Cricetulus griseus: one gene and its partners. The protein of the gene in region 3 interacts with the protein of the main gene of each other region in a pairwise test. Links are inferred from orthologs where the notes say so. Each region holds a gene or a part of one and is shown on either strand. Other genes may lie near its edges.

The links.
Region 1: the proteins of Otx1 (region 3) and Vwc2l interact in binary tests that used the Homo sapiens proteins (3 or more experiments, as listed by UniProt). The two-hybrid records come from large-scale screens. The link is inferred for Cricetulus griseus from reciprocal best matches to the Homo sapiens genes OTX1 and VWC2L.
Region 2: the proteins of Otx1 (region 3) and Comp interact in binary tests that used the Homo sapiens proteins (3 or more experiments, as listed by UniProt). The two-hybrid records come from large-scale screens. The link is inferred for Cricetulus griseus from reciprocal best matches to the Homo sapiens genes OTX1 and COMP.
Region 4: the proteins of Otx1 (region 3) and Spry2 interact in binary tests that used the Homo sapiens proteins (3 or more experiments, as listed by UniProt). The two-hybrid records come from large-scale screens. The link is inferred for Cricetulus griseus from reciprocal best matches to the Homo sapiens genes OTX1 and SPRY2.
Region 5: the proteins of Otx1 (region 3) and cysteine-rich hydrophobic domain-containing protein 2 interact in binary tests that used the Homo sapiens proteins (3 or more experiments, as listed by UniProt). The two-hybrid records come from large-scale screens. The link is inferred for Cricetulus griseus from reciprocal best matches to the Homo sapiens genes OTX1 and CHIC2.
Region 6: the proteins of Otx1 (region 3) and Adamtsl4 interact in binary tests that used the Homo sapiens proteins (3 or more experiments, as listed by UniProt). The two-hybrid records come from large-scale screens. The link is inferred for Cricetulus griseus from reciprocal best matches to the Homo sapiens genes OTX1 and ADAMTSL4.
Region 7: the proteins of Otx1 (region 3) and Spry1 interact in binary tests that used the Homo sapiens proteins (3 or more experiments, as listed by UniProt). The two-hybrid records come from large-scale screens. The link is inferred for Cricetulus griseus from reciprocal best matches to the Homo sapiens genes OTX1 and SPRY1.

What each region holds. Positions count from the first base shown.
Region 1 is NC_048595.1:424,192,699-424,196,918, reverse strand, and holds the start of Vwc2l (von Willebrand factor C domain-containing protein 2-like), read right to left. Parts: upstream 2,801-4,220; coding exon 2,411-2,800; intron 1-2,410.
Region 2 is NW_023276806.1:248,600,942-248,605,076, forward strand, and holds the start of Comp (cartilage oligomeric matrix protein), read right to left. Parts: upstream 2,801-4,135; coding exon 2,725-2,800; intron 2,508-2,724; coding exon 2,422-2,507; intron 2,035-2,421; coding exon 1,983-2,034; intron 1,634-1,982; coding exon 1,464-1,633; intron 697-1,463; coding exon 559-696; intron 424-558; coding exon 349-423; intron 265-348; coding exon 106-264; intron 21-105; coding exon 1-20. UniProt on the Homo sapiens protein: Plays a role in the structural integrity of cartilage via its interaction with other extracellular matrix proteins such as the collagens and fibronectin.
Region 3 is NW_023276807.1:84,695,141-84,699,395, forward strand, and holds the start of Otx1 (homeobox protein OTX1), read left to right. Parts: upstream 1-1,455; coding exon 1,456-1,552; intron 1,553-2,395; coding exon 2,396-2,547; intron 2,548-3,899; coding exon 3,900-4,255. UniProt on the Homo sapiens protein: Probably plays a role in the development of the brain and the sense organs. Can bind to the BCD target sequence (BTS): 5'-TCTAATCCC-3'.
Region 4 is NW_023276807.1:257,384,644-257,388,826, forward strand, and holds the start of Spry2 (protein sprouty homolog 2), read right to left. Parts: upstream 2,801-4,183; 5' UTR 2,378-2,800; intron 1-2,377.
Region 5 is NW_023276807.1:141,545,311-141,549,395, reverse strand, and holds the start of cysteine-rich hydrophobic domain-containing protein 2, read left to right. Parts: upstream 1-1,285; 5' UTR 1,286-1,602; coding exon 1,603-1,721; intron 1,722-4,085.
Region 6 is NW_023276806.1:60,828,259-60,830,869, forward strand, and holds the end of Adamtsl4 (ADAMTS-like protein 4), read left to right. Parts: intron 1-329; coding exon of another isoform or gene 330-349; coding exon 350-553; intron 554-655; coding exon 656-835; intron 836-1,075; coding exon 1,076-1,220; intron 1,221-1,357; coding exon 1,358-1,494; 3' UTR 1,495-2,111; downstream 2,112-2,611. UniProt on the Homo sapiens protein: Positive regulation of apoptosis. May facilitate FBN1 microfibril biogenesis.
Region 7 is NW_023276806.1:112,081,566-112,085,810, reverse strand, and holds the start of Spry1 (protein sprouty homolog 1), read left to right. Parts: upstream 1-1,445; 5' UTR 1,446-1,686; intron 1,687-2,303; exon of another isoform or gene 2,304-2,413; intron 2,414-4,114; 5' UTR 4,115-4,169; coding exon 4,170-4,245. UniProt on the Homo sapiens protein: Inhibits fibroblast growth factor (FGF)-induced retinal lens fiber differentiation, probably by inhibiting FGF-mediated phosphorylation of ERK1/2. Inhibits TGFB-induced epithelial-to-mesenchymal transition in lens epithelial cells.

The DNA of each region.
Region 1 (4,220 bases), on a different chromosome or scaffold from region 3:
TCCCTGTATTTGAGAATGAGGGAGACTAGAGAACATCAATTTATTCAATTCCTAAATGTTCTGGGCCTAATGACTTCATTATATTTCATTAAATATTTTCAACATCTCTCCACAAGGGAACTAATCATTACAATGGCTATTTTATAGTCTTACTACTGTGGCTGAGATCTTACATTCCACTGAGGAATTTGGTCTTCAAATTCAGCTATTTCTGACCTTGACATAAAAGTGCTCTGAGAAGTTGAAGAGATTTAATTGCTAGAAAGCAATATTACAAAACAAATTTAGCAAATGGATGACTTTTGGGTGAAAGGTAACTTAAACTTTCTTTGTATTAGTTCTTCATTGTAACATTTTTGTCCTAGATAGTATCTACAGAATTTTTGTGCTCATGTCTTTGTGAAAAAAATGGAATCTGTTCTTTTGTCATTAAGGGATGTTACATAAAGAATTATACTATGGTGGAGGTATAACTAGGAACACAAAAATCATCAAGGTTTTGTTCATATGTTTTTTTGTTGCTTGAGATGGTAACACAGGTATCTTTCAAAATTTTTGTTTATTTTTATGTGTTGGGCGTTTGACCTCCATGTATGTCTATGTATCACATGCATGTCTGGTACCTTGGGAGGCCAGAAGAAGGTATCAGATCCCCGTAGATTAGAAGTACAGATGGTTGTGAGATACCACGTAGTGTTGAGCACAAAACTCATGGCCTCTGGAAAGGCAGCTAGTGCTCCTAACCAGTGCAGAATCTCCCTAGCTCCCAAAGTCATATTTTTGTTTAGGTAAATATAGTAAGTAGAGGGAAAACTAAAGTGCTTTAACGGTAAGCTGACTAAATTTGTAAACCAGACTATATATTCTTTTATATATTAAGTACTGATTGCCAACTTTTATCTGTCAAAAACTGTATCTCCTGTGATCTGGGGCTAGATATTCTTTCTTGAAAAATTTACTCTAATTGTAGGTGCATATTAGAAGGGATTGTCACTGAGTTTGTTCATAATATATTGTTCACAATATTTTGATCATAATATGTTGAATACTATATTTTCACTACCTAAAAATAAAAATAGCTAATGACATAGTGTATGTAATATTTTAAAGACCATATTTTCATTAGTGTGATAGTCTGCTCTTAACTGTTATTTTCTGTTAGAGTAGCTTGACTAAACTCTCTTGCTTTTACTTCTTAATATTTCACAACACAATTTTATAATACATGAAAGAGAAAAGTTCAGAGTAACAGCGACAGTTCCATCAAACAAAGTTGATGTAATCATTGAAGCCTTTTTTTCTTTGCAGCCAAAGAATGTAGTGAAAAAAGTCAGGCCTTCCTTTAGAAACCAGAGTGAGTTTGAACTCACAGCCCAGAATGGACCGAACACACTAAGTCAGCCATACACCAAAAGCCATAATGATGATCAGTTCAAATCTTTCTACAACATGCTGACTTCTGGCACCATTTTACTTTGTAGGGAGAGAAGTTAGCTCAGGTCTAAAAACTGAACATTCATTTTTCAAAAATTAACAAGCACACTTATGACTAGCTATGACTTCTTTTACCTATAACGCTATAAAGACCATGTCACAGAATGTTGATAAAATTAGAACATTTAATATTAAGCTTTCAGCAAGAAAAGACAGTCCAGCACACAAACCATCATGACAACTAACTAGGATACTCTTGATTCAAACCCCCAGAATTCATGTGTGGCTTGTAGGACATTCTAATTAGCATTAGCGACCAGAGAAAAGAGAACTCAAGAAGAAATAAAAATAAACTTCATGTTATTTGTTATGTAAAGTGAGACACAAAGGTGAAAGGAAAATGAATATGTCATTGAGAAGTTAACTTCTCTTTTTGAAGGCCATGATAAGAAAAAAATAAATCAGTTCTCTAGGAAGTCTTGTAAGAAAAACATCTCATGGACAGAGAGCTGAGCCCGAGCCCTGCTCTATAACAAGTAGACCCAATGAAGTTTCTTAAAATAGAGATCACAGCTCTGAGTGCTTTTCTATAGCATGTACAGTTCAACACTGCAAACAAATATGTCAAGGCCATCAGAAAATGGCTCCAAATACAGACCAATAAGCCAGAAAACTCACAGAATATAAAAAAATTAATTTAACAGGTATATCCTCCAAACAATCTCCCTCCAAAAACACATTGTATAAAAACACAGAAGGAACATTTTTAAGGGTTAAAAATGAAAAGATATTAAACATGAGCTGAAGACGATCTGAATAATGTGATTACTATGAGATACTGAGCGATGAACTAACTGGTCTTCTGCCAACCATGGTGCTACTCATGCTGCCTGGAGTTATATTTTGGTATGTGTTCTAGCTTCAATTTTAATGCAGTAAATATTAGAATTCAATAAATATGGAGGGTAAGTCGTACCTTAAATTCCTCCAAGATTTTGTAATTTTTTCCATGATATTCACAAAAGTTTTTCACTTCTTTACATTCTGGACAGCATCCATTGTGTTCCACTTTTGTACATTTCGGATGAATTTTAGGGCATTCTGGCTGGTCACAAACAGGTCCATCTAGAGCACAGACACATGGACAGTTGGAATGCCCCGGGAAAAACCGTTCTCCCAACTTGTATACAAAGCCGCTGTCATCCACACACCCTTTCCCTCGATAGTCATCAAAGATCAGATTGTCATTACTGGAAGCCTGGTCACCTTCATCAGCAGGATAGTCTTCGTGACTGATGGCAGCAGAGGTGACCAATCCAGGGATGACCAATAGAAGTATGCAAGCTTCATGAATATGAAGAGCCATCCCCCTCCTCACAGGCTTCTGGATGTTCTCCTAATATTAAATACACTCAGCTCCTTCCATGGGAATGCAAGAGGGATGGGCTGAAAATAAATATTTAAAAGGTAATTTGACATATAGAAAGAGTAAAGATGCACTTAGCCCATGCTCTTAAATTGTTTGTAAAGGTTCAATTTTGGAAGACCCTGAGACTTCAAATAAACAATGTTCATCCAACTGTCTCTACTATAAAGTTTGAATAGCGGATTTTGATAATGTACATTGTAATAAAGGTAATTTATGGAGTTATTTTACTTAGGCACCTCTAGCTTGTAATTTGCCTGTGAATTCCAGTGGTCTGGCTCTTTGCACATTGTAGGAAGCAATTTTGTTGAAGCTTAAAAAGTGATTTTAAGTACATAGTTCAAGGATATTTTGAACCACATCCATGTTTTTCTTTAAATTGGATGAGTCAGTAATAGAATGTAGATGTTACACTATTCTGGATAAAAACAAGAGGTTAAGGTGAAGCATTAAAAAACCAAGGGAACTAAAAAAATAAAACAGTTGGATGCAGGTTTAAATGAGATGGATAAAGTATAAAGGCTTTCTTTCTCATGCCCATAATCTGGATTTTGGAACACATGGAATATGATAAATAGCATAACAAATCATAGTGAATAAGAGAATATATTTATAAATTAAGTGTTACAAAAATTTAATTTATTGAAATGGACTTGTTAAAAACAAAGTCATGTATACTATTTGTTCACATCTTTAGTTTTATGCTGGAGATAAGCTCCTAGTGGGCAGGAAAGATATAGCTATAAATTTTTATAGCAGCCAAGATCATGTGATGTTGTTTGAAGTTGATTACTTCCATATTATATTAATATCATTCACATTTTATTGAAAATATCACTCATTGGAAATGACCAAGATATTTGCATTTAGGTAATTTCTGCAAAGATGCCAGAAAAAATTCTTTGGAAGTTTCTTAAAATAATAATGAAGCACTGATATTCACAGACTGTATACCTTATTGCCTGGATAGCACAATAACTGTTATACACCCCCAGGGTGTTAGTATTTGGTATTGGTAGTGAGATATCCTTTGGCTAGTTAGAGTAGATAACTTATAATTTCTGTGAATCATGGATGAGGAAAATTATTTTAAAATATTTCATTTATCTATTTAAATGCTGTTGGCTTCATGCCAATATTACTAAGATTGTCTGTAGGACATTTTAAGATATCTAAGTTTCATTCATTGTTTTATCTCTAAACTATATTAAAAACAGTAATAAACTACTTATTTTCAGGCCAGCATATAATTATGATAATTTTAAATATGATGAAGATGATGCTAGGAAACTTTGTAAACTCTTAGAATATTTTTGCATTTTAAGTTAGATATGCAAATTCGAGTAATAGTAAAATGGAA
Region 2 (4,135 bases), on a different chromosome or scaffold from region 3:
CCGGCCCAGCCGACGGCGCACTGCGCAGGGGAGTCACTGTCACCGTCCACGCGCGCCCGGGCTCCTCGGGGACCCCTTCGCCACCTCCCGGGCGCCGGCACTCACCACGCACGACCGCGAGCCGTCGCGCTCCACGATGCAGTCCGCTTTCTCATGGCACGGGCTGGGTGAGCCGTCGGGGCAGAAACGCTGCCCGCGCCGCCGGCAGCCTGACGTCTGGTCACCCACGAAGCCCGGCCGGCAGGGGCCGCACTGGAAGGAGCCCTGTGCGCAGGCGCGGTCCGACCGTCAATCGGGCACCCACGCGCGCCTCGCCAGCGCCATTCTCACCATCCCTGCCTTCCTTACCCGGGTGTTGACGCACACGGAGTCTGGGACGCAACTATGCTGCCCGGTCTCACACTCGTTAATATCCATGCAAATCTGGGGGACGGAGATCACGGGCAGACAACACACGTCCCACCCGGGCCACGCCTCTTTGCAACCTGTCTCTCCACCCAGACTTCAGATCTTCCTCACTGGAACAAGGGTGTGGATCGAGCTTTCCGTTCCCCTTACCTGTTTGTTGGCCTTAGCGAAGGCTAGCCCCACGCCCTCGTGGGTGGGGCCGCTGTACCCAGGTGGACAGGCTTCGCAGCGAAAGCCGGGGCTGGTGTTGACACACCGCACGCGCGGGAAACAGGGGTGAGCATTGCACTGTGAAAAAGGAGCACATAAGATTTTGGGCCCCCAGCTGGATCGCAAGAGCCGCACCTTGAAGCTTCTCGGATTTGGACATGGGTTTGTTTGTTTTTGTTGTTTGATTGGAGACACAGTCTCACTGAATAACCCTGGCCGCCCTGGAACACACCATGTAGACCAGGCTGGCCTCGAACTCAAAGAGATCCGCCTGCCTCTGCCTCTCGGGAGCTGGGGTTAAAGGCGAGCGCCGCCAGACCCAAATGGTTCGCAGCCACGGCCATCAACCAGCTCTTGGAGACCCCAAGGGTCACAGACGGCTTTGCCTTGATGGACATGAGGCTGTGACCCCTTAGGAGTGAGGAAATGAACTTGGGGAACGGGCATCCCCAGCCGAAGGAGGAAGTGGCCGACGGCACGTGCAGGCACGGCGGCGATCGCCAGGTGCTCCAGGAGGGCGACTCTCCAAAGTAGACGAGTGGTCGGGGCTAGCGAGCCCCAGTGGTGAGGAGGATGGTTGGGGAGAGCCACACCCAGCGCCAAAGAGGTCGTCGGGGTGGGCGTCAGTGGGAGCAGAAGGCGTGGTCAGGGCGTGCGTCGGGGGCAGTGATGGAGTTGGCCCGAGTGGGCTTCCCCAGTAGAAGGGAGGTCTTCTGGATTTGCGCCCGGGGCTAGGGGCAGGAGGGCACCCTCGGTGGATAAGGGGGTCGTCGGGAAGGAGGGAATTTGTGGTGGAGTCGGTCCGGGTAGCGTCAGGATGGCGGGGGTGTGGGAAGCCCGCGCACCTCATTAACGTCGGTGCAATGCGAGCCGTTGCCGGTGTAGCCGGGAGGGCAGGGGCCGCAGCGCGCGCCGTTCGCCGTCTCCGTGCAGACCACGCCGGGGAAGCAGGAGCCGGGTGCGCAGAGCGGTACTGGCCGCACGCTCAGGCCGGGAGTGCGCGCCGGTTGCATCCCTTTGGGGGCGGAATAATTAGGCCAAGCTCGCAGGAAGGAGCCTCTCCGAACCACACCCAGGGGAGGAGCCTTACGGCCGCGCCCACAAGGAGACTAGCTTGCCCCGCCCAGGGTGGAGCCGTTCGTGACCACGCCCCGGGAGAAGGCTCTTTTTAGCCCGCTTGGAAGCGGCACTCTCGCGCGTGCGCTCTGCCGCGGCGCGGTCCTCTGGTTCTTCGCTGTCCAGCGTCCAGTCCGCTCCATCCCCGTTCACTCCTGGCCCCGCCAGCCTCCTTCCCCAGCCCTTTTTCCTCCTTTACGCTCTGCTTCCCTGCCCTCCTCCGACCCTCGGGTCCCCGCTGTGCTCACCGCAGGCGTCACACTCCATCACTGTATTCTTCAGGAACGTGATCTCCTTGACCTGTCCGGCAGGAGGTCAGCTTCCCTGTGGTTCTTCTTCCTCCTCCTCCCCCACCTCCTCCTCTTCCTCCTCCTCCTCCGACCCTCCTCCTCCTCCTCCTCTCCCCCCTCCCTAGGAAGCCCGGGGCGCATAGCCACCGCCTTTCTATCTCCTTCTGCCGGATCCGCTGTCTCCCCGGCTGTGGCCCGGTCCGTGTGTCCGGTCCCGCGCTCTGTCCCGCGCCCTGAGGTGTCCACTCCGTCCCACACTCTTGTCCGCGCCATCTCTCGGTCCCCGCGCTGCCGCCCTCTCTGTTCTTTTCTGTCACCTGTCTGTCCACCTCTCATCACTGCGCTGTGTCCCCCTGGCTCTGTTGTGTCCCCACACTGGCTCCCTCTGTTCCCTTACCTGCTGTCGCAACAGCTCCCTCACGTCCTGCAGCGCCGCGTTGGTCTCCTGAAGTTCCCTAAGCATCTGCGGGGCCAGGTCTCCACCTGTGTCCGCAGGGGCCACTGATGGGCGACTCAACCACCCCATCACCCCTCGGGGCCCTCCAGATCCACCCGCTGCTCCAGCTCCACCCGCCGCCTAATCTCTCGGCCCGGTAGGTCTCTGCAGAGCAGACCCCCAACTCCGAGGAGCCAGAATCTCGAGCCTGGAGGAAACCGAGGGGCCTCCTCTCCAGCCATGTCCCCCACTAAGCGGCTTTACCCAGCGGAATCTGGCCCTGTCCCGTCGCGCGCATGGCAGCCAGAGCGAGCACTAGAACACAGGCGGTGGGACCCATGGCGGTGGAGCTGCGGCTGCTGTCTGCGCCCTCGAGCTCGAGCCCTATTTATTCCCGCGCCCGGCCCGGGACAGCCCCCGCGGCCCTGCCCAGAGCCCGCCACAAGGTAAACAGGCCGGGCTCTGCATCAGGGCCGCGCCCCAAGGCGCGGGACGACCTTCGGCTGATCAGACCATGGTGGGGTCTGAGGAGAGAGAGGGGTGAGCCTCGGGGAATCAAGTGGGGCTCCCCGCTCGAACTCCAGTTCACGGCTGAATGCGTGCTGTATGCAAGACATCTTTCTGCCCCTCGCGGGTAACATTTGGTGAAATCACAAGTGCTCAAAAGGTCTGAGCCCACCCACTCTGTCTCCTACACTCCCTCCTTATATCAGAGCCCTGCAAAGGGGGCTGTGGGCATGGCTCAGCCCGGGTCTGCAGGGGGCTGTGGGGACTATGAAGGTATAAAGTACTGGACTCCAGCACCTCCAAACAGAATCCCCAGTCTTGCCTCAGTTTCCCCTTTTGCACAGTGGGGGTGCTGGGCACGGGGTAGGGTAGGAGACCTCCGCTTCCCTGGGGTTCTGTTCTCAGTGGGCGGCACCCAGCTTTGCTGCCCCCCCACCCCCGGCGCTAGGGAGACAGCCCGTTATAAAACTGAAAACCGCTGGGAACTGAAAAATCTCCTTCTCTGAGCTGTGAACTACCTCAGCATCCAGGAACTTTAACCCTCTCTAAGCAGCCTCCCAGGTCTCGCAGTTCAGTCTGTTACAGAGAAGCTGGGGTCCAAGAATGGGATCTGACCCTCCTGGGGCCACTGCAGACACCCAGGAAAATCTTGTTCCAAGAAGTTAAGTCATGGAGGGCTGCCTGGAGGAGGAGGCACAGGGGACAAAGAGAATAAAAAGGGCCTTAGATCAGTGGGCAGGAGCATTGAGGTGGCTCTAGAGAGGGAGACACTGGAAGATGTGTGTCTAGATTTCTGAGTACATTCATGTGTTACATAAATGTGCCTGTCCTGGGTCAAATTCTCTGCTAGGTCACTGTTGGGGACACAGGAAGACAACAGTCCCCAGCCTGTCAGAGCCTAGGCTACACCGTCACTCAGAGGTGTGGAAGCTGCAATGGGAGCTGCTTAGCAATAGTCCTCAGCAGGAATGAGTGTGAGCTGCTGGATAGATGGCCCCCAGGGTGTCAGATCAGGGGTGAGGCTAGCAAAGGGCAGTGCCAATGACTTGAGGCCCAAGTTGTCTTTGGAACGCAATAGGGATGCTTATAGGGTGAGGGAGGGAGAACAGCCCTGCAGAGGGAGTCTGGAGGTGACCATGTTCAGAGAGGCCAAATCCCCCAGGCACAC
Region 3 (4,255 bases):
AGTTAGATCTAAGTATTCGAAAACTCACGCAGCACCTTCGCAGAACCGCGGCGGCTGGTGGCCTGTGGTTCTCCGGCCCAAGTGCGCTGTTTCCCTTGTGGTTCCGTCCGCCTTCCGCGCCTGCTGGTCTCCCTTAGTCCAGGCCGCGGGACCCCAAGGACCGAAGCAGGGGTTGGAGTTGGGATGGGAAAGCTACTTAAGTCCTGCCTCCTTTTTCCCTGAGTTCCCACCCTGGGCTCCCTGTAAAGCCGGGTGTAGCTAGAAGCCCCCCTCTCGGGTCCCAGCCCTACCCCCCCAGAACCCCTTCTTCCGCTGGAGAAGAGCGCCAGGGGCTCGCAGTGTCTTCGGCCGAGCCTAGCGCTCCCAGCTTGGGTGTGCGGGAGCTTTCCGACTTGAGGCCTAGTTCTCTGCTCTCCACCGAGTTCAGGAGAGGACGGCGAGGAGCCCACGCGATCCAGGGTGCTCTGGCTTCTGAACTCCCCAGCATGCTTTGAGCCGCTGGGCTGGTCATCCTTTATCAGACCCTGGTGGGACTCGGTGTGCTCTCTCGGACTTGGTAGAAAGAAGGTCGGGCCTGCGTGGGCTTAGGAGGACGGGTGACCGTCTTTGAGGCACCCCTGACCTTGGGCGGCTTCTTGAAACTGCCACTTCTACTGTGGCGCCTTTGGCATCTTCTCGCCGCCTCACCCGGGCCTGGGCCACATCTACCCTAGAAGTGCGTTGAAATTCCGGTTCACCCATCTCCTAGCGTCAGGGGCCCAGAGAGGTCAGATAGAATGGTGATTGGGACTCTGGGGGAGGGGGCTGCTCTGGAGATCTCTGAAGGAATGATGTGACCAAAATGGGCAGTTGCCTGGGCGATCCAAGGGGTACTAACCTTGGACCTCTGTAGTGCCAGCGGTTTTGTCCCTCTTTCAAAAACATTTGAAACTTAAACAAAATAACCCGGTACGTACGCTCTGTACGGCCTGCCATCCCGGCGCCAAGTGAACATTTGCTTGAGCAAATTGCTTCCGCAGCACTAAAAAAAAAAGACTACACTTGGGATTTTGCACCCTCCCCGGTCCCGGCTCTCACCTCCTCGGCCTGATCGCGCTTTTAAGTTTTCTTTCCTGTTGACACTCAAGGAGTGTCTTTGGCCCTTGTCAAGCCCTAAAAGAGGAAGGAACGATGTGGGGAAAGTTTACTTTTCTAAGAAGCCGGCTTGCTGAGCTTGGAGGAGAAATTTCTTGGGTTGCCTGCCCTGTTAAGTTCCTAGCCTGCCCCCCTCCCCATTCTAGGATTATAGGAACTGAAAGCCAAAGTGACTGCGGGTGACGGTTTCCATGTGTCTCCTGTCTCCTTAGGCCAGGCCCCCAGAAGCAACAGCTTGAAGGACTTCGAAGTGGGAGCCCTGAACTGCTCCTGGCCCCAGGCCCCCTGGATCCGTCGGGGCGCCTCCACCCGGCAGTTAGCATGATGTCTTACCTCAAACAACCCCCATACGGCATGAACGGGCTGGGCCTAGCTGGCCCTGCCATGGACCTCCTACACCCCTCTGTGGGCTATCCTGGTGAGCGGTGGCCCTATGTCCCTACCCCCAAGCCTGTGCAAATATTGGGGGATTCCAGCTTTTAACGTTTGAGCCCACACAGTCCCCAAACAGGCCCAGGGATATGATTATCTCTGTGTCTGTTGCCCAGATCTGCTACAGGCTCTCCGGTTTGAGTTTAGAAACTGTGACCTACAACTTTTGAGCTTGTGGTGCCTGCTCCTGTTGTGGTCTCACATGCTAGAGAAAGCATGTTTGTCCACCGACGTATTTCCCACCGGTTGCTTTTTTAAAAAAATAAAATCTTGCCCGCCCAAACATTTCACGAGGAATCTGGACTCGATAGGCCCTAATGTAAACAGCCAAACTTCCCTTATGTCTAGCTGCCTTGAGAAGCAGAGCTCTTTCTCCCTAGTCAGAGTGCCCTAGAGACCAGGGACCTGACCCAGCTCTTCCGTGGTGGCAGACGACTCCAACTGAACCCCGAATTTATTTTCTGGATCCTACTTCTTTGCTTGAATTTATTCACTTGGAAAGCTTTCCCAGGTCCTGTTTCTACCTACCTCTGTTCTACTTCCTACCTTTCAGCCAGAAGTGGGCTTAGGGAGATGAGGAGGGGATGGCTTTGTTTTTTATCTGAGAGACAAGGAGGGCTGAGGCCCTGATGTTTCTTTCAGACAGGAGCCTCTAGCCCAATTTATACACTTTGCCCCACCTGTGGGCAGGGAAGTTTGCTTTTGCGCGGAGGTCGGCCTTTCCTTTCCATGGCAGGGTTCTGGACCTACCAGAAGACCTGCGTGTGGCCTCTAGCTCCAGTCCTCGAGGTCCACTGCTGACTCCAGGTGCCCTTGTATGTCCCCACAGCCACCCCGCGGAAGCAGCGACGGGAACGCACCACCTTCACGCGTTCACAGCTGGACGTGTTGGAGGCCCTTTTCGCAAAGACTCGCTACCCGGACATCTTCATGCGAGAGGAGGTGGCGCTCAAGATCAACCTGCCAGAGTCCAGAGTCCAGGTGCGTGGTCTTTGGGACTCTAGGATTAGGGTAGGGGCGCTAGGAGCGGTCGGGGAAGATCCGACCTGGGCCATCTGGTGTTGGGGCCCATTCACTGACTGGACAGCCCCTCTCTAACTCCCCCTAGTGCTGGGCTTCAGTCAGCTAAAGGGGGGTAACATTTTAAAAAGTAATGGCTTAGAGCCCAACATCTCTCTAGCCCTTGTCCCCAGGGCGCTTTCATTGTTGAAAGTCGGTTTTTGGATTTTGGAAAGGCCAGCCGTGTCCCCCGGGTGTAACTTTCCCAGAAGGTTAGATAATGGCCCCTGCTTCCTGGCTACAACAGAATTTGGCGTTTTCCTACTGAGCCTTAGCTCTCCTTCCGCTCTTGTCTTTCTTACCCTTCCCTTGAGTCCTGGGGATTCTAAAAGTGCAAGATGGAACTTGGTCACAGCCTAGCGCAATCTGCCTTGGAGTGTGCTCTGAGGGTGGAGTCGGTATGGTTTGGAGTTTTCTCCAGCCGAGTGGAGGCCGAGTGCAAAATCCAGATGCTGGGTTTACTGTTTCTAAAATGAAACAGTTCAGAAAATAGGAGTTCTGAGTTAGTCTAAAACTCTTCCTCGAGAGTCTTTTGTCTCAACTTCTTTCCCTGAAGGCTCGAGAAGGGACTGGGAATGCAATGCCCCGTGTCCGGGCCCCTCCAAAAGGAGTGCGAATTTATGACTTATCGTTCCATTTGGTACCCCACCTGGAGCCAAAAGGCCCAAGGAAACCTCACCCAGGCTTCCTTCACGAGAATCCCAGTACTGGAGTACTGCTTCCGTTCAGTTCAGCCTCCAGCCTTGCTTCTGTTCCCACCCAAATATTTGCCCTGCCCAACTCCAGTCTCCAGGAGCCGACTCGGTGAAACCCCTCGGGCCCCAGACTTGGTGACTGCCCTACTCTCCGATGTTCTGTACTCTCCGCTGTTTCCTGAGCTCTGTTCTTGGAAAACAGGGCCTCCAAACTAAAACGGGGCTGCGGGGAAGCAGCCAACTGCAACAGCTTAGAGATGGCTGAACTTCTGGCTGGACAGACGCAAACGTTCCGCCCTTGGGCAGAGTTGCGCTGGGCTTGGGGAGGTGCGCATCCCTCCTGCGGTGGAGGCTGACTGGGGGCTTTGCGCAGAAGGATGGGGGAGGGAGCCAGAGCTGGGGACCTAGCACGTGCGGGGGAGGGGACAGGGTCTGGCAGGGCCAGAGACTGGGAGGGGTAGAGGCTGGGATTGAGAGGTCCCTGAGATCCTGGGCGGGGTGTGAGTCCGAGGGGCGGAGGAGCTGTGAGCTCCACTAGCCAGCCCCCTGATCCCTTCTCCTTCACCCTGCTCACTGCAGGTTTGGTTCAAGAACCGCCGTGCCAAGTGCCGCCAGCAGCAGCAGAGCGGGAACGGAACGAAAAGCCGGCCGGTCAAGAAGAAGTCGTCTCCAGTGCGCGAGAGCTCGGGCTCGGAGAGTAGCGGCCAGTTCACGCCGCCTGCCGTGTCTAGCTCGGCCTCTTCGTCTAGCTCAGCGTCCAGTGCCTCCGCCAATCCCGCGGCTGCTGCGGCCGCGGGCCTGGGTGGGAACCCGGTGGCAGCCGCGTCCTCTCTGAGTACGCCTACTGCTTCGTCCATCTGGAGCCCGGCCTCCATCTCGCCAGGCTCAGCACCGCCATCCGTGTCCGTGCCAGAGCCACTGGGCGCACCGAGCAA
Region 4 (4,183 bases), about 170 Mb from region 3:
TTTGTAACAGGTTTAAATTTGTCAGGATCCTTTTTACACTAAACACCAACAAATGCCTACAACAGCTTCGGTTTAAGTCAGCACCGAGAGTTGTGTAATCAGTATCTTTTGCCAGTCCCATATGATATAAAAGTACATTCTGAGAACAATTAAGGCTGCATTTTTAAGTAAGTACAGTGGTACAAAGTTACAGAATTGAAGTCATTTCGATTCCCATCAGCTATCACGTGAAAACAAACTCGTAAGACCAAAACGTATTTTCCACTACTCGAGAATTAAATATTCCACAGACCTATGAGTCTAGCCTTATATCCTCAATCCCAAGTCATTCTCCCTGTTTAATAAAGCATGCAAAAATGATGTTATCTTCTCGTTTTGAAAAATACCCAGAAACACAAAAGCAAGTAACAGCAATAGGAAAGGTTTTAAAAATCCTAAGTGTCACGGTTGAAACCTATCATTTCGTCAAGGGATCGCTTAAATTACAGTCATTCTTCGGTTTAAAAAGTACCACCCCTCTCCCAGGCCCTCATAAAAATACCAAAGAAAATAAGCAAAAGCGGACTTTTAATCCAACCTTGGCTTTTTGGAAAAGGGCAGCGAACAAGGCAGGTGACAAACGCCTCCTAATTCAGAACTAGACAGAGCTGGAAACCGGATCTGCTCACCTCCAACAGCAAGGTACACAAGGCTGTTCTTTGCTTTCACTGGGTTTATCGGCTCTATCTGCGCCCCCACACAGTCCGCAGCAGGTGGGACTCAGCCAGAACCCCGGGGACTTTTCTCCTCCAGGCGGACTGACGCTGTCTAGGGCCAGCCCGGCCCCTCCTGCGAGCAATCCCCTGAAGCTCAGGCAGGCAGGGGGCGCGGGCGCCTCCGAAGGGGACGTGTCGTGAAATGCACGAGCACACTTCCCCCTCCTCCGCACCCCCTCAGCTAAAATTTCCCCCAACCCAAGAGAACTGCCACCCAGCCCCAAGAGGGGGTGCCACTCCAACACGCCCACCCCCGCAGCAAGGTCACCACAAGGTGTTTCTGCGAAGGCCCTCAAAACGCTTGTCCCCACAAGTTCCCAAATCCGACGCCCCGAGGAAGAGAGCCGGGTCGGGACGCACAGCTTGCACAGAAGTCTATGTACCCACGCTCCCAGAGAGACTCCAGCCAGCGTGCAATGACCGAAGAGAGCACCGCCTGCAATCTGCACACGCCTACCTCCTTTTAGACCAAGAAAAAAGATTTATTTCTTAAAACGAAAAAAAAAAAAAAGAAAAAGCTTTATCTAGAGCCCCACTGGACACGCCAGGCGTGCAGGCCTCCGACCCCTGAGATCGGGAACTTCCCGTGAAGACTGCCCGTGAAAAGTAGCATCTTTTGGAAGAAAAAAAAAAAAAGTGATTTCTGCCGATCCCTGGCGGCCTCCTTCGCGGGCCGCCTCCACCCCCTGCGCTCTCGCAGTTCCTCTCCCTCCCCCTCTGAGTGCTTTGAAACCCCCATTAAGAACAGTGTGTGATCAGACTAAGGATTAGGGGGAAAGGACTTCAGCACTAGGGTGGGGCAAACCGACACAGAAACCCCTTTGTAAAAAAGGCGTTAAGACTCCAAATCTCAAAAACAGTAACACAAAAGAGGGAGGGGGGAAACTAGTTTTTTTTGCCACCTACTTTCAGGTAATGGAAAACGATCGCGACCACTTAATAACTCTCTTCCTGTGCTAGGTCAGCCCAAGCATCAAAAAAAGAAAAAGAAAAAAGAAAAAAAAAGCATGACCCAGGCCGACCACGAAGAACGGAAAAAAGAGAAAGCCGCACTTCCGAACCGCAGAGACGCGGCGCCAGGCTGGGCGACGCTCCCACCCGCACCGGGCTAGACTGTCCACACCGGGCAGAGGCGGGGACTCCCTCCGCCTGGCAGCCTACCCTCGGCTTGTCCGCCGAGTCTTCTGCTCCGGTGCGGTGGTGAGATGAGAAGCCCAGTACCCCAGCCCCACAGGCGCCCCCCGCCGCAGGATCGGCTTCCCCAGAACTTGGCCTTCCACCGAAAGGAGGAACAGGTTAGCAGCGTAAACGAGCCTGCAACAGCGATCAGGAAAAGCAGGGATCTCGGCGACTAAACCGCCTCCAAAGCAGGGTAGGAGCAGAACGCAGTGGAGCGGTCCTCCTCCCCAAAGCCCTTAGGGAGCGCGGTGTCGCGGAGTGGGGACACTGCACCGGCGCACCCTGCAGCCCGGCGGTGACTGAACCCCTGTCCTAGGCGAAGCAGATCCGCGGGGCAGCTCCCGATCCTCCCTGGAAGCCTACGGGTTTAGGGGAAAGAGGAACCCGTACCCCACTCGCGGCGGACTGTGGTTCCAGCAGGGAAAAAGCCAAACGCTCCTCACCGTGATCGCGGCTTTGCACCAACCCCTCTCCCTTGGACTCTCTTCTTTCTGCGATGTGCAAAGTAAATCCAGTCCCGATGCAAACTTTTTCCTTCTTTCCGAACTCTGCTTCAGTCCAACTTCCAAGTAATCGGTGGCAGGAGAAAAACAACCAGGGGAAAATTTGGAACCCAATCCTCCACCGTTGGAACCCTCTCGGATTCCGGGCTAGAGAGAGAGAGAGAGATGACCTCCCTTCCAGAAGCGCACGGAGTATTTCCTCTTTTTTTTCTTTCTTTTTTTTTTTTTTCTCAATGAACAAGAAGCCGAAGCGCCGTGGTTGGCGAAGTCTCTTTTTTCCTGGCCGATGAGAGAAAGAGAGGCGAACACGGCCTTACAAAGAACCTAAGGCCAGCTCGCCCAGTCCTGGGGGCCCGGGGCTGCTTCGGAGCGGAGGCTGGCGCGGGGCCGCGGGCCGGGCCGGGCGGGCGCGCGCGGGGCCTGGGCGCTGCGCGCTCCGCCGGCCCCCTCCGCTCGCACTGCGGCGCGCAGCTCTGGCTCGTGCAGACTGGGCGTTGCGGAGGCGCGGCGGCGAGGCCGAGGCGGGGGCGGGGTGCGCAGGGGAGGAGATGGTGGGGGAGGAGGGTCTGGGCCCGGCCGGGCCGGGGCCGGGGCCGGGCCGGGCTGGGGCTGGGGCTGGGGCCTGGGGGGGCGAGCCGCTGGCCTGCGCCCTCGCCTTTCCGGAGGAGGCAGGGAGCTCTGCAGCGGCCGCGGCAGCAGTAAATGGCGTCATGTGGATCCGAGGCGGAACAGAGCAGTTGTTGTCCCAGAGGATATATCGCATCCGGTCCCAGCTCATTGGCTCGGCGGGGCTACATTCACTCACACTCCAGCGCCCGCCAGCGCTCCGAGCCGCAGGAGGCATTCAAAAGGGCAACCGCGCCGCCCCGCGCGTCCCCAGTCGCTCCTGCAGCCCGGGCGCCGTCACGCGGGGCCGCTGCGGCCACCGCGAGGTCAGTTTATCTAGTTTCAAGGAAACACTGACCTTAAGGCTCCCCCCCCCCCCGCCCCGCCCGCTCGCTCGCTCGCCCACCCCCGGAGGCCACGAGCACCAGCCGGAGGCCAGGCTCACTTAGGGAACTTTCTCCCTCGCCGCCCGGAGACCAGAGGGGACGTTGCAAAAACTAACCCGGCCGCACGGTGCGAGCGTGAAAAGCCACTTGCGGCTTTTTAAAAGATTCGATTCGGGAATCCATTTCGGATCTACCTCTTCGCCTCCTTCGCCCGCCCCACCCCCTCCAATGCCCAGGGGGGCGAAGAGGGTGGGGGGAGCGGGAGAGGGAGGGAAAGGGGAGCGGGAAGTGAGGTGGGAGGGCTATTGGTTTATTCTTTGTCTACTGGATTAACCCGATTATACACCGGGCACCAGCACAAACCGCCTCCCCCACCTCCGAGCCTTGTACGGCAGGAACGGAATGCAGATTCGGGTTTCAAGTCCCTTCTGCTCTGGCTGGGATTGGCTTTTGATTGTGTGGACGTGTAGTTTGTTAGAATTTCATTTTTAAGAGGGATTATCTATAGATGGAGGCCTTTTGAAGACTTTTTTGGGCATTGTTTTTGCTCGACTCAGAAGCTTTTTAAATTAATTCAGTAATACCCACGCGATTACTCAGGGCGACATCATGGACTTCCGAAATGGGGGGGGGGGCGCACGCTGTTCCCCTGCAAATTGAATCCCTCCTTCGCGAAACCGTAAATAAAAGGAGAGTCATCTTTCAAGTCCCACTGTTTGTCACCCAGAACATTCTCACAGAAGTTCCTCTTGTT
Region 5 (4,085 bases), about 57 Mb from region 3:
GTGCACCATTGGAGACCTTGGCAGACCCTCTGAACACCTGATAAGAGAAATACAATTGCTTGCCTTAATGACAGATGTTACTGCCAGAGACTATCACACACACACACACAACACACACACACACACACACACACACACACACACACACACACACACACACACACACACACACACACACACTGCTTGCCACATAGCTGGGTCAGTGTTTATTGAATGAATACATCTGGGAAAGTAGGTCGGACATATCAACTATTCTTCCCTTCCTAACTCACTGCCCATTTTCAACTCTTTCCAATATTTAGTTGTTCAGTATTTTTCAACCACCCACATTAACCTTTTACATTTTCTGCCCGAATAAAGACCCATAAGTGAACTTCAAGGATGTAAACACTATATGGAGAACAGTACTGGACACCCCCAGCTCAGTGATAAACTCTCATTACTCCATTGTCCATTTTGTCCTTAGGAGTCCATCTTTGTGCTGTTTGTATGCCTGGCAGACTCTTGATTATGAAACCAAGTCCAAGGTGACCCATCCATTAAGTCAACTGCTCCTCCCTCCCCTTTTCTCCATCTCCTCTTCTCCACCCCCTCCCTTTCTTGTGGAGGAAGCGGGTAAAGTTTTAATGGAAGAGAACAGATTATCTTTCGTGATGGAGTTGAGACATAGAACTGAATTTTCTTAATTGGAACCCGGAGAATCTGTCAACTTTGTTATAAAGTATGATGGCGAGATTTCTCTCTCTGTGTGTCTCTCTCTCTCCTCTCCTCTCTGTCTCTGTCTCTCTCTCATGCTTGAGACTGTACTTGAGAAGCTAAAAGGACAAGATATTTGACTTTGGAGATTTATGGAAAATCAGGTTTAAATGTGGACAAGAACGCACTGTTCTGTTGGTCTCAAGTTGGGAAAGTCAACCAACTTTTGGTTCGCACTAAATACACTGACAAACATTGAGATCAGATGATTAAGCCGGCAGTTCCAGGCAAGAGAGGTTCTCTCTTCCAGCCAGGGGCTTGGTCCGCAGTCGTTGTTTGGGCTAGAGATGAATTCAGCTTGGCTCTCGGAGTCGAGCCAGGGTCATCGCCCCCGTCCCCACAGACGCCGCCTTCCGGGTCGGTGACCCTGGAGCCTGGGGGCGGGGCCGCGCCGGGTAGAAGCCGAGGAAAAGGCCGGCGTCCCGGGAGCGCGCGAGGCCTGCCGCGTGCGCGCGCCCGCCCCACGCTCGCGCCCGTCAGCGCGCCCACGCCAGCCCGCTCGCCGCCCGCCCGCCCGCTCGCCCGCGCTCCCGGGAAGTCTCGCGATGCGGTAGCCGGCTGCTCCTGCTGCGGGTGGCTCTGGCTGTTGCTGTGGTTGCCGGAGTTGCGGGCGGCGGCGGCTGCGGCGGCGCTGGCGGGGGTGGCGGCCCCGGCGGATGTTGACATTGTGTTGTTGTTCCTGCCCACGGTAATGGCGGCGGCGGCGCCCGGGACCGGGTCTCCTCAGTAGCCAGAGCCGACACTGCCGAGCGCCAGCCCCGCGGCCTCCGCGCCCGCAGCCTCGCCAGCCGTTCTCCGCGGCCGCCCCAGAGCCAGGGCCCCGGGCGCGGGGCTCGCAGGCGCGGGATGGCGGATTTCGATGAGATCTACGAGGAGGAGGAGGACGAGGAGCGGGCCCTGGAGGAGCAGCTGCTGAAGTACTCGCCCGACCCGGTGGTGGTCCGCGGCTCCGGTCACGTCACCGTGTAAGGCCCTGCGAGGGCTAGGAGAGGACGGGAGGCGCGGGCTGGGTGGGCCCCGGTACCCCTCGGAGTCGTCCTTCCTTGAACCCCTGTCTCCGGTGACTGGCGCGGGATGGGGGCCTTGTGGAAACGCCAGCGACCAGGAAGTGAGAACTTGCTCTGTTGCCGTTTGTTTAGGACTCCCAAGTGGGGACAGACACTGTCTTCCCTCCCTCCCAAGCCCTGTAGCAGGCCCCACGGCCCTGGGGATGTGTGGGATCCCAGCAGGAAGGATGGTCTGCTTTATGGGCCATCCCTTCTGCCCAGGGATGGAAGTGCATGTGTATTTTTGGGATCCATCCAGGTAAATTGCCCCTCTCCCCCGTTATTCTTTGGGACTGTGCCTTACGGTCTGTTGACATATGGCTCAGAGGTAAGATCAGGGATGTGAGACCCCACTGGCAATTGATAAATAAGGTTCACCGTCTTGTTTTTGACACATACCCACAGGGCTTCAGAGTTCCCTAAGAGTACATTTCTGCAGAACTAATTAAGTCTCTGCCATTATATATAATAGCAATATATAGGTGGACATAAAAATAGGCAGAAAGATACATGTTTGCAACGAATCACAAGTCCTGAGTGTCCTGTAATCGTTCTGCTTAGGGGCACGGACTCTAGGTTGGCTTCTTGTTTGATAAGGGTTCCTGTAAGGCTTATTGGCACCATCAAAAGTCCAATATTCAAACACTACGGGATGAAAGCACCCTGAAAGGTCATGACTAATAAAGGAATGTGTAGACTTGAAGCAAATAATGAGCTGTCCGGAAGGAGGAAGTTTTATAAGTTTTGCAACATTTCTCTGATAAGTCCGGAGTTGGGGTATCGATACTCCTTCGCAGCTGGTATCTCTGGTTAAAAGTCACAGCTCACACTTCCTGTACTTGCATGTCGAGTTATCACTGATATAAAAAGGGGGCGAGCCTGAAGATGTCTGGAGCACTCTTCATTGTGTTTTGATGTAGGGTGAGTGGGATGTGCTGTGAATAAGTCAGTGAAACAGTGAGACTTCTCATCCGATTGTCAGCAGAGCCCTTGCATTTCTCAGTGTTGTTGAGAGCAGTCATACTGACAAGCCATGTTGTTGTTTGGATATGCTTATGTAATGCTTTGGTTTCTTAGCATCTGTTAAGTGTGTATTTAGGTGACTTAACAGGGTAAAAAGACTGCATAATCATTGTCCCAGGACCTGGGATAAGGAGATGGGACTTGCACCATAATAACAGCTCTGTTTTAACTGTCATCACACGCTTAATTAAGGTATATAGCCAATAGTGAATAATACAACTTAAGTGTATATCTCAGTGTTTTTACTATCATAACCTGATATTTAATTTTTAGTTTGACTCTTAGGACTTTTTTCTTCTTGTTTTAAATGTAAAGAAACAAAAAGCCCACGGACTCAGTGGCACTTGTCTAATACCAACACTCAGGAGGCAGAGGCAGGTGGATCTGTGAGTTATAGGCCAGCCAGGGCTGTATAGAGAGACACTGGCTCAAAGGGATTTCCAAACTTTTTCATGTTATCTGTGATTGTCCTTAAAGTCCTCATGTCTAATCAGAGCTGGCAGAATTTTATTTACAAAGGTTCAGCCAGGGCTGGGGAAGAAACTCAGTGGTATAGAGTGCTTGCCCTGGGTTCAGAACAGCACAACAGAAAGAAAGGTTCAAGTACAGTTGTAATGTCTCTTCAAGAAGAAAAGCCAAACACTTTGTTGGGAAGTAGATAGGCAAAGTGCTCTGATGGTCAGTAAATTTAGGTTGTAGCCAACTATTTGGAGTGGTTAACAGAGTGGAAAACAATTATTAGTGGTTTTTCATCTTATCATCTGTTAGAATCACCTGGCATTGAGCTTAATAAGCATTAGCCTCTTTATTGTTATCAGTATTGTAAATAAGTACTGCCATTTGCAAGTCTAACAGTGATTCATTTAGTCTAGTTTGTCTGCCCATTAAAATCATCTGCGGAGCCCCTGCTTTTGCTCCATCCCTTCTCCAGGCCATCAGTCCACACATGAATGAGACTCTGGTGCATGATGGGGTTAGGGGAGGGTCTTGTAGGTGGTTCTGATTTGTAGCCAGAACTGTGCTCCAGACACTGGTGATGGTGGTGTTTGCACACAGTAGCAGCAAGCCTTCATATGTTTGTGATCTTCCTCAGGCACTTCTGGTAGCCTGGTTATAACCGTCTTCCGCTGCTTATATAAATTACCCATCTGTGTCTCTTCAGTTCACGTGATGCTAGCTAGGTTAAGGATTAAGTGAGATAATGTATGCAAAGAGTGCACCAGTGTGTTGCTGTGCTCAGGGAATACTAGCCTTTATTAA
Region 6 (2,611 bases), on a different chromosome or scaffold from region 3:
TAATTATAGAGTTTTACAAAAAATTAGGTAGGGTGCAACTAAGTTGGTAGTGTGCTTGTGTAGCACGTGTGAGGCCCCGCTTTTGATCCCCAGTATCACATAAACCAGGTGTAATGGCACACACCTGTAATCCCAGCACCCAGGAGGTAAAGACAAGACGATCAGAGATCCAAGGTTATCTCAGCTTCATACCAAGTTTAAGGACAGTCTGGAAACTGTCCAGCAGTCTGTCTCCCCTTCCAGGCTGGTACCCCAGGGCATTCCTGAACTCCTGGGATGTGGGCCCTGCCCACCTCAGTCCCAGTCACCAGCAGCCTCCCTTCACACAGGCCACTCTCCCTCTCAACAGTGCTCAGCTGAGTGCGGGACAGGAATCCAGAGACGCTCTGTGGTCTGCCTTAGGAGTGGGGAGACCCTCCAGGAGGACCAGGAAGCAGGAGCAGGAAGCACTGAGCATGGCTGCCCTCTCAGAAGCCGCCCTCCTGACATGCGCGCCTGCAGCTTAGGGCCCTGTGAGAGGACATGGCGCTGGTACACAGGGCCCTGGAGTGAGGTCAGCTGAGTTGAGGGTTTGGAGATGGGGGACAGGAGGGAAGTCAGTCCCCGTGAGTCCCGCATCGGGACTAAGAGTGGTCTCTCTTCCCTTCCCTTACAGTGTTCCTCAGAGTGTGGGTCTGGCACACAGCACAGAGACATCATCTGTGTGTCCAAACTGGGAGCTGAGTTCAATGTGACGTCTCCCAGCAACTGTTCCCACCTCCCCAGGCCCCCTGCCCTGCAGCCATGTCAGGGGCAGGCCTGTGAGGACCGATGGTTTTCTACTCCCTGGAGTCCGGTGAGTGCCTGGCTCCCTTGTCCTGCTCCACCTGGGCCTCTAACAAGAAGGGCTTTTCTCAGTGCACTGCCCTGGGCACCTCGGCTGAGCTCTCATGCCGTCCCACTTCCTGTTGACTAGGAAGACTGGTGGACCCTTTCTATTTGGGATTTTACAATGTCCCACCACTATCTTTCCGAGAGGGAGGGGAGCAGCCCTGGAAACTTTAGAGATTTGATCTGATGGGTATGGTCTCCCCAGTGTTCTCGCTCCTGCCAGGGAGGCATGCAGACGAGGGACGTCCAGTGCCTGAGTGCCAATCAGACTCTCAGCACCCGATGTCCTCCTCGCCTGCGACCTTCCAGGAAGCGGTCCTGTAACAGCCAACCCTGCAACCAGCGCCCTGGTAAAGAGCTTCCCGGCCCACCCGTAGTGGAGGGGATTTGGCTGGGATGTGGGCAGATGTGAGACGGGCTGGTGGGAATGGGTAACACTTGAGAGGGATGATGTCAGCGCTGCCTTGTGCCATTGACCTGTCTCCAGATGACCAATGCAAGGACAGCTCTCCACACTGCCCCCTGGTGGTACAGGCCCGGCTCTGCGTCTACCCCTACTACACAGCTACCTGCTGCCGCTCATGTGCCCACGTCCTGGACCGGTCCCAGCTGGAGCCTGCCTGAAATGGGTCCAAGAGATCCTTTCTTCATGGGTTTCTTATGCCACCACTGGCCACCCGCTGACTATCCCACTCTGTATCCTCTGGCTTTTCACCTGGTCTGGGTCTCACCAGGGATGTCCTCTAGGGGGAGAGGACAAGGTGACTGTTGACCTGCTGTTGGGTTTGCACTACAATGTGACACCCTGGGATGTGTACCTGGCCTGCCTGGGTGTTTGCCCCTGTGTATGTGTCACTTCCTCAAAAAAGCAAACTGAGGAAGAGGGGGAAGTGCACAACACCTGTTTCCCGGATGCCTTCTTTTTCCACGCTAGTCTGAGCTACATAGCATGTGCCCTGTAAGTTCCAATTTTATGTCCCAATCCTCATTTCCAGGCCAGGCCTCACACCATTAAGCTACCCTGTTGTTCCTACCCCTTCATCCCTCCCTCATTAGCTAGGGGACCCCTGCTACCCTACCTTGCCCAGGAAGGACCACACCTCTCCAGAGCAGGGACCAGTGTGAGGAGGATGAAAAAGAGAGATGTCAGCATTAAGACACCCTAGCCCCGGCCCCCACTTCACACTGGTGACGCCCATCCCAGAACTAATTTATTTTTTATTAAAGTTGATTGTGACAAACATTGCTCTTCATTATCCTCACGAGGACCCTGCCATCTGAGCAGTGCGCTGCCAGAATCTGGTGTGGGGAGGGACGGGAGGAAGGGTCGTCCCCAGGGCTGTGGAGGGTGCGTCAGAGCCGCCTGGCTCAGAGGCTGGGGATCCTGTGCGGCCCCAGAACTGCAGACGGCTCACTGGCCACTAGAGGCCACTACCTCTTCCCGTTTAGGGGTAGTGATGGGTGCGTGCTTGGATCACCGCAGAGTCTGTGGTGGGCTTTCGGGTAGGCTCTTCCGGTGGGTGGTCTGCAGGAACCCAGAAGGACTTTTCAATTCAGAGCCAAGCAGGCTGGCTCAGTGTACGTGTGGGGGTCCTCTCGCCTGGGCCTTGGCTTGTCTTCTTTTACCCACTTCCCTGTTCAATACTTGGCTTATTGCTTCCCATGGGTGCTCGTGGCCGAGACTTGCTCAGCAGAATCCGAGCCCAGCCTGGTTCCCCGGGACTGCAGGAGGAGGGGGGAG
Region 7 (4,245 bases), on a different chromosome or scaffold from region 3:
TAGGAATTTTTTTTAGCACATCTCTGGCTGAAATACTCTGAAGTGTATTTTAGTAAGAATCTTTGAAATTGTATTTTATTAGTGTCGAGTAATTAAAGCTGTTCATTGCTCCCTGTCCTCGTTTTATCACTGACCTCCCTGCTAAATTTATGCAGACAACTGAGAAGTGCCAAAAAAGATACTCTGGTATGATACTGCATTAGCGATTGGACCCTTCCAATCCAGTCCTAAGAAACAGATCCACAGCTGTCAGGCCTTATTACATTGCTACCTCTGTGGGAAAATAGACAAGATACAAAAGCCCCACCAGCTTTACATTTGAAACTATGACTTTAACACATTTCCTAGCATGAAGGTGAACAGACAGCTAGCTTCCTGGCTTCTAGAATGTTCTATTATCCTCTAGTGGCCTTTCTTATGGAGGATGTTCTTTGCAGGAGTGTCCTGGATGTCTCCCATGCAATTCCACACACAACTGTGAGTTCTAAAAGCATTTAGATACTTGAAAATGAAGTATGCAAAAACCAACATCAACAAAAAGCTTTTAAAAAAAAAACCTGCTGTTATTGTTAACACTTTAAAAAACTACTTTGAGCCCAAAACATCCAAACTCACATTGATGGATGATTTAGACCCTGGAGATCTGTTGTTTATCAAAACTATTCCTGATACAGTTCCCTGGGAAAATATTTCCTATTAACAATTTTTGGGGTCTTAGGTTATTTTAAAAACCCTCTATGGAATTTTTAGTTCCACATATAGTTCTTTTCACTTTGTCCTGAGCTACATCATCCCAATAATAAATGTCCAAAATCCCAGAGTTTGTAAGGAAACAAAAAGCATTCCCCACTTACTAGAGTCCCCCTACCCTGTGACAGACATGTAACTAAAACTAAAGCTTCTTCATGAGTTATTCTTATTTTACTTGCTTTTTGTTGATTAAAAAAAAGTTTGTGTTTTTTTGACAAAATTATACAAACATTACAAAATAGCAAGGACTTACTTGGGTTTGTTTTTTTTTTTTTTTTCCGAGTAATTTTTGGGATCATACCATAAACCGAAACGGAACAATCACTAAAATCCCACAGCAGGAGGGATTTCCTGCTGTGGATCATTATATTACATTTGCAAAAGTGACTGTCCTTTCGGGAACTTTCATACTGTATCAGCACACATTTTCCCTGGGGCACGGTGGAGAGGTGTACAAGTGTTTTTGTTGTTGTTGTTGTTTTGTTTTTGCCTACTGTTCTTCACAACTCTTTTCTAACTCATAAGGGTGAACGCATCGGTTTCCTTAAATCGGAGGCTGACAGCTCACTGACTATCAGGGGCCCTGGAACATGTGTTGCTGCCCAGTTGAGCTCAGAGGCAGTTTTTTCGGAGCGTCCTCGAGTCCACATCCACGATCGCTAAAATCCTGCTCCGGGTTTTGGCTCAGCCCGCGTGATTGACACATGATATCACCGGGGGCGGGTCCCAGCGTGGAGGTGGAGGTGGCGGCGACGCTGAAATGCTGCGGAGCCCGCGCGCGAGTGCTCAGCACGCAGGAGTTTGCGGCGGCCCCGCAGCCAGAGCTCTGCGGGCTAAGAAGCAGCTGCGCGCGACGTGCATGTGCCGGGAAGGCCGGCCCCGGGCTCTGCACTAGGCAAGAGCCTTGCCCTCCCGCCCAGGACCTGGCGAGATCAGGTGAGAATGGTGCTTTTTTTTTTTTTTTTTTTTTTTTCAAGGACCGGACGTTTTCGGATCTGGCTCTAGCTTGGTGCCCCGCGCTGGGCGCCCGGCCCTGCAGCTGGAGAGCTGGCTCCTTTCGCTTTCCCGTAGCCGGGCAGCGAGTTCCGCGTGTGCGGACGCGGGCTGGCATCGCCGCGCACCCGCGTGTCTGTGCGCATTGTTGGCGACCGAGCCGCCGGGCGCTCGTGCCAGACCTGACTTTGCAGTCCCCGAGTGCGGGCTTGCCGCGAGCAGACGCGCCGTTCGGACGCGCTTTTCACTGCAGGGCATTCCGTGGGGGCAAAACGTGCACGGCCGCGTGTGTCCCGGGCTCGTGGCTGCCCATCACCGCGAGGAGGACAGCGTCCCGGGCTGGCGAGGGACTCACGTGTTTCTGTCTCTGCTCGTCTGCAGCCGGCGTGGCGACTGCGGGGACGCGGACCTGCGGGGACCCGAGCGCCCGGGACGACGCCGGGCCGCGCGCCTGACGACCGGGACGGGACGGTGCTGTGGAGCGGGCGCCGCGCGCACCCGGCGGATGTCCCGGAGCCGCCCTCGGCCGCCGCCAACCGCGGAGAAGCGCCCCTGCCCCGGGGCCGCCGAGGCCGCAGCGCGGGCTATGAGCGCCCGGCCGCCCCGCCGCGCTTGATGCGGCGCGCATCCCGCCCGTTCGGCGCCCCGGGCCGGCGCCGCGGAGGCCGAGGTGAGTGCGGGCGGCAGGTGCGGGCCGGGGCGGGCCGGGCGATCCTGGCGGTCGTCGCGCAGCCCGTGCCAAGCGCGCGGCACCCGATGGCGCTGGGGAGCCAGCGGCCGCCTATGCTCGGAGCGCAGTGCCTCGCGACGCGGGGAGAGGGCGCTGCCTCCTCCCGCCCGCGAGCTGTTTTCATTCATAACTTTCCCCAGCCCGAGCCGCTGCGGCTCGGTGTCCCTGAGGCCTATGTGCGGGCTCACAGAATTGTCCGCGCGCACCCGGCTGCTCTCCGGGCGGGTGCGGGCGCCGAGGTGCTCCGCCAGAGCGAACTTGCTTGGGAATGCCCTGTAAAATGCGAATTAAAGCTATGCCTGGGGGTTTCATTACTCAAGCCATTCCCACGTCTTCCTTTCTTGTGGATGAAACTTGGCACATTTAAAGTCTTCGTTTTGGAGTTTTAAGTTTTTTAAAATAGATAGGGCACGGGAGTAACGACTGGCTGTTTCCCATTGTCATTTAGGGGTTCGGTACTAAGACGTGCTGTTACAGATGTGTTTCTCGTGTTTGGGGAAGGTAGAATAAACTAGAGGGGCCCCCAAGAAGCTAAACATGTAGTCTAGGAGCATCCGTAGCAAACTGCTTTTCCTTGAGACGTTTTGTTTTCTTTTGGCACCTAATTCAAGTGCCGTCTTGAATTAGGGTGCATCTGTGGGTTTGGAGAGCATTTGTGTGAAAAATATCCTAGATACCTACTGCCCGGAAACGGGAAAGTCAACTTTTGCTCTGTTTTAGGACGAATGCATTATAAATTGTAAATTATTTCTTGACGTGAAAACGTGTTTGTTGTGACGAGATATTAGTGTGTTTACCTTATTACAAAAAGCAGCTCGATTCAGGGCTTGTTGAAAATCAAGGTCTGTGGTGTAGATGAATGAAAGGAAATAAAGATAATGCAGAGACTAGGGCTCCTCTCCCTGCTCTGTAGGTTTGACACTTGTGCATAGAAGTTATTCATGTTGGTGAGTGAGCCTTGTTTAACCTTTAAAGAACCTTCTATCCAGAGTTTGTGTGCATGCTCTAGCGCCAGCAAGACAGCTAGAGCCGCTGCCTTCTCCATTCCTTGTAGATTCTTTTTCTCATCTCACAGATGAGCTTTAGATCCGGACTTGTGCCCAAAACGGCCTATTGAGATTCACGTGAGCTTGGAATATCCAGTGTTTTGGAAATTGCCTTGATTAATTTTCTCATTAATCTAAAGCTCTTAACAGCGAACAAATGGCCAAGAGGCCACAGCACTAAAGCCATTCTTAATCTTTAAAAAGTAGCTGACATTTTCCTTACGTGAACTGCCAGTGAACTGATAGTGAACTCTCTGAGAACAGTTCCAGGGCGCGCACTGAATGCTCCCTTCGAAGGCATATTTCATTTTAATTATTTGTTAGGTTTGCAAACAGGAAGACATGACTTCCTCTGCTTTTTAGAAGCTGGAGAGCAACTTCTAATTTTTGTGGCATGAGGTCTTGCTTGCTTTCTTCCTGTGATGTGGCCCTCCACAATCCTTGTTTTTGGAGTTGGACTCCTGCCAGGATTCTGCATCATTGAAATCAGCCGATGGAGGCGATCATTGCCAGGTGGTTTGGGCAATTTGTTACTTACAGGCGCCCCCCTCCCCAAAATGCTTTCTCATTTATTTTCTCTCTCACTCTTCTTTAGGATTTCCGATGCATGCCAGGTTTCTGCTGACTGCCGGAACCGGAGATCACTCCACATGGATCCCCCAAGTCAGCATGGCAGCCACACTTCCCTAGTGGTGATTCAGCCACCGCCTCTGGAAGGCCGTCAGA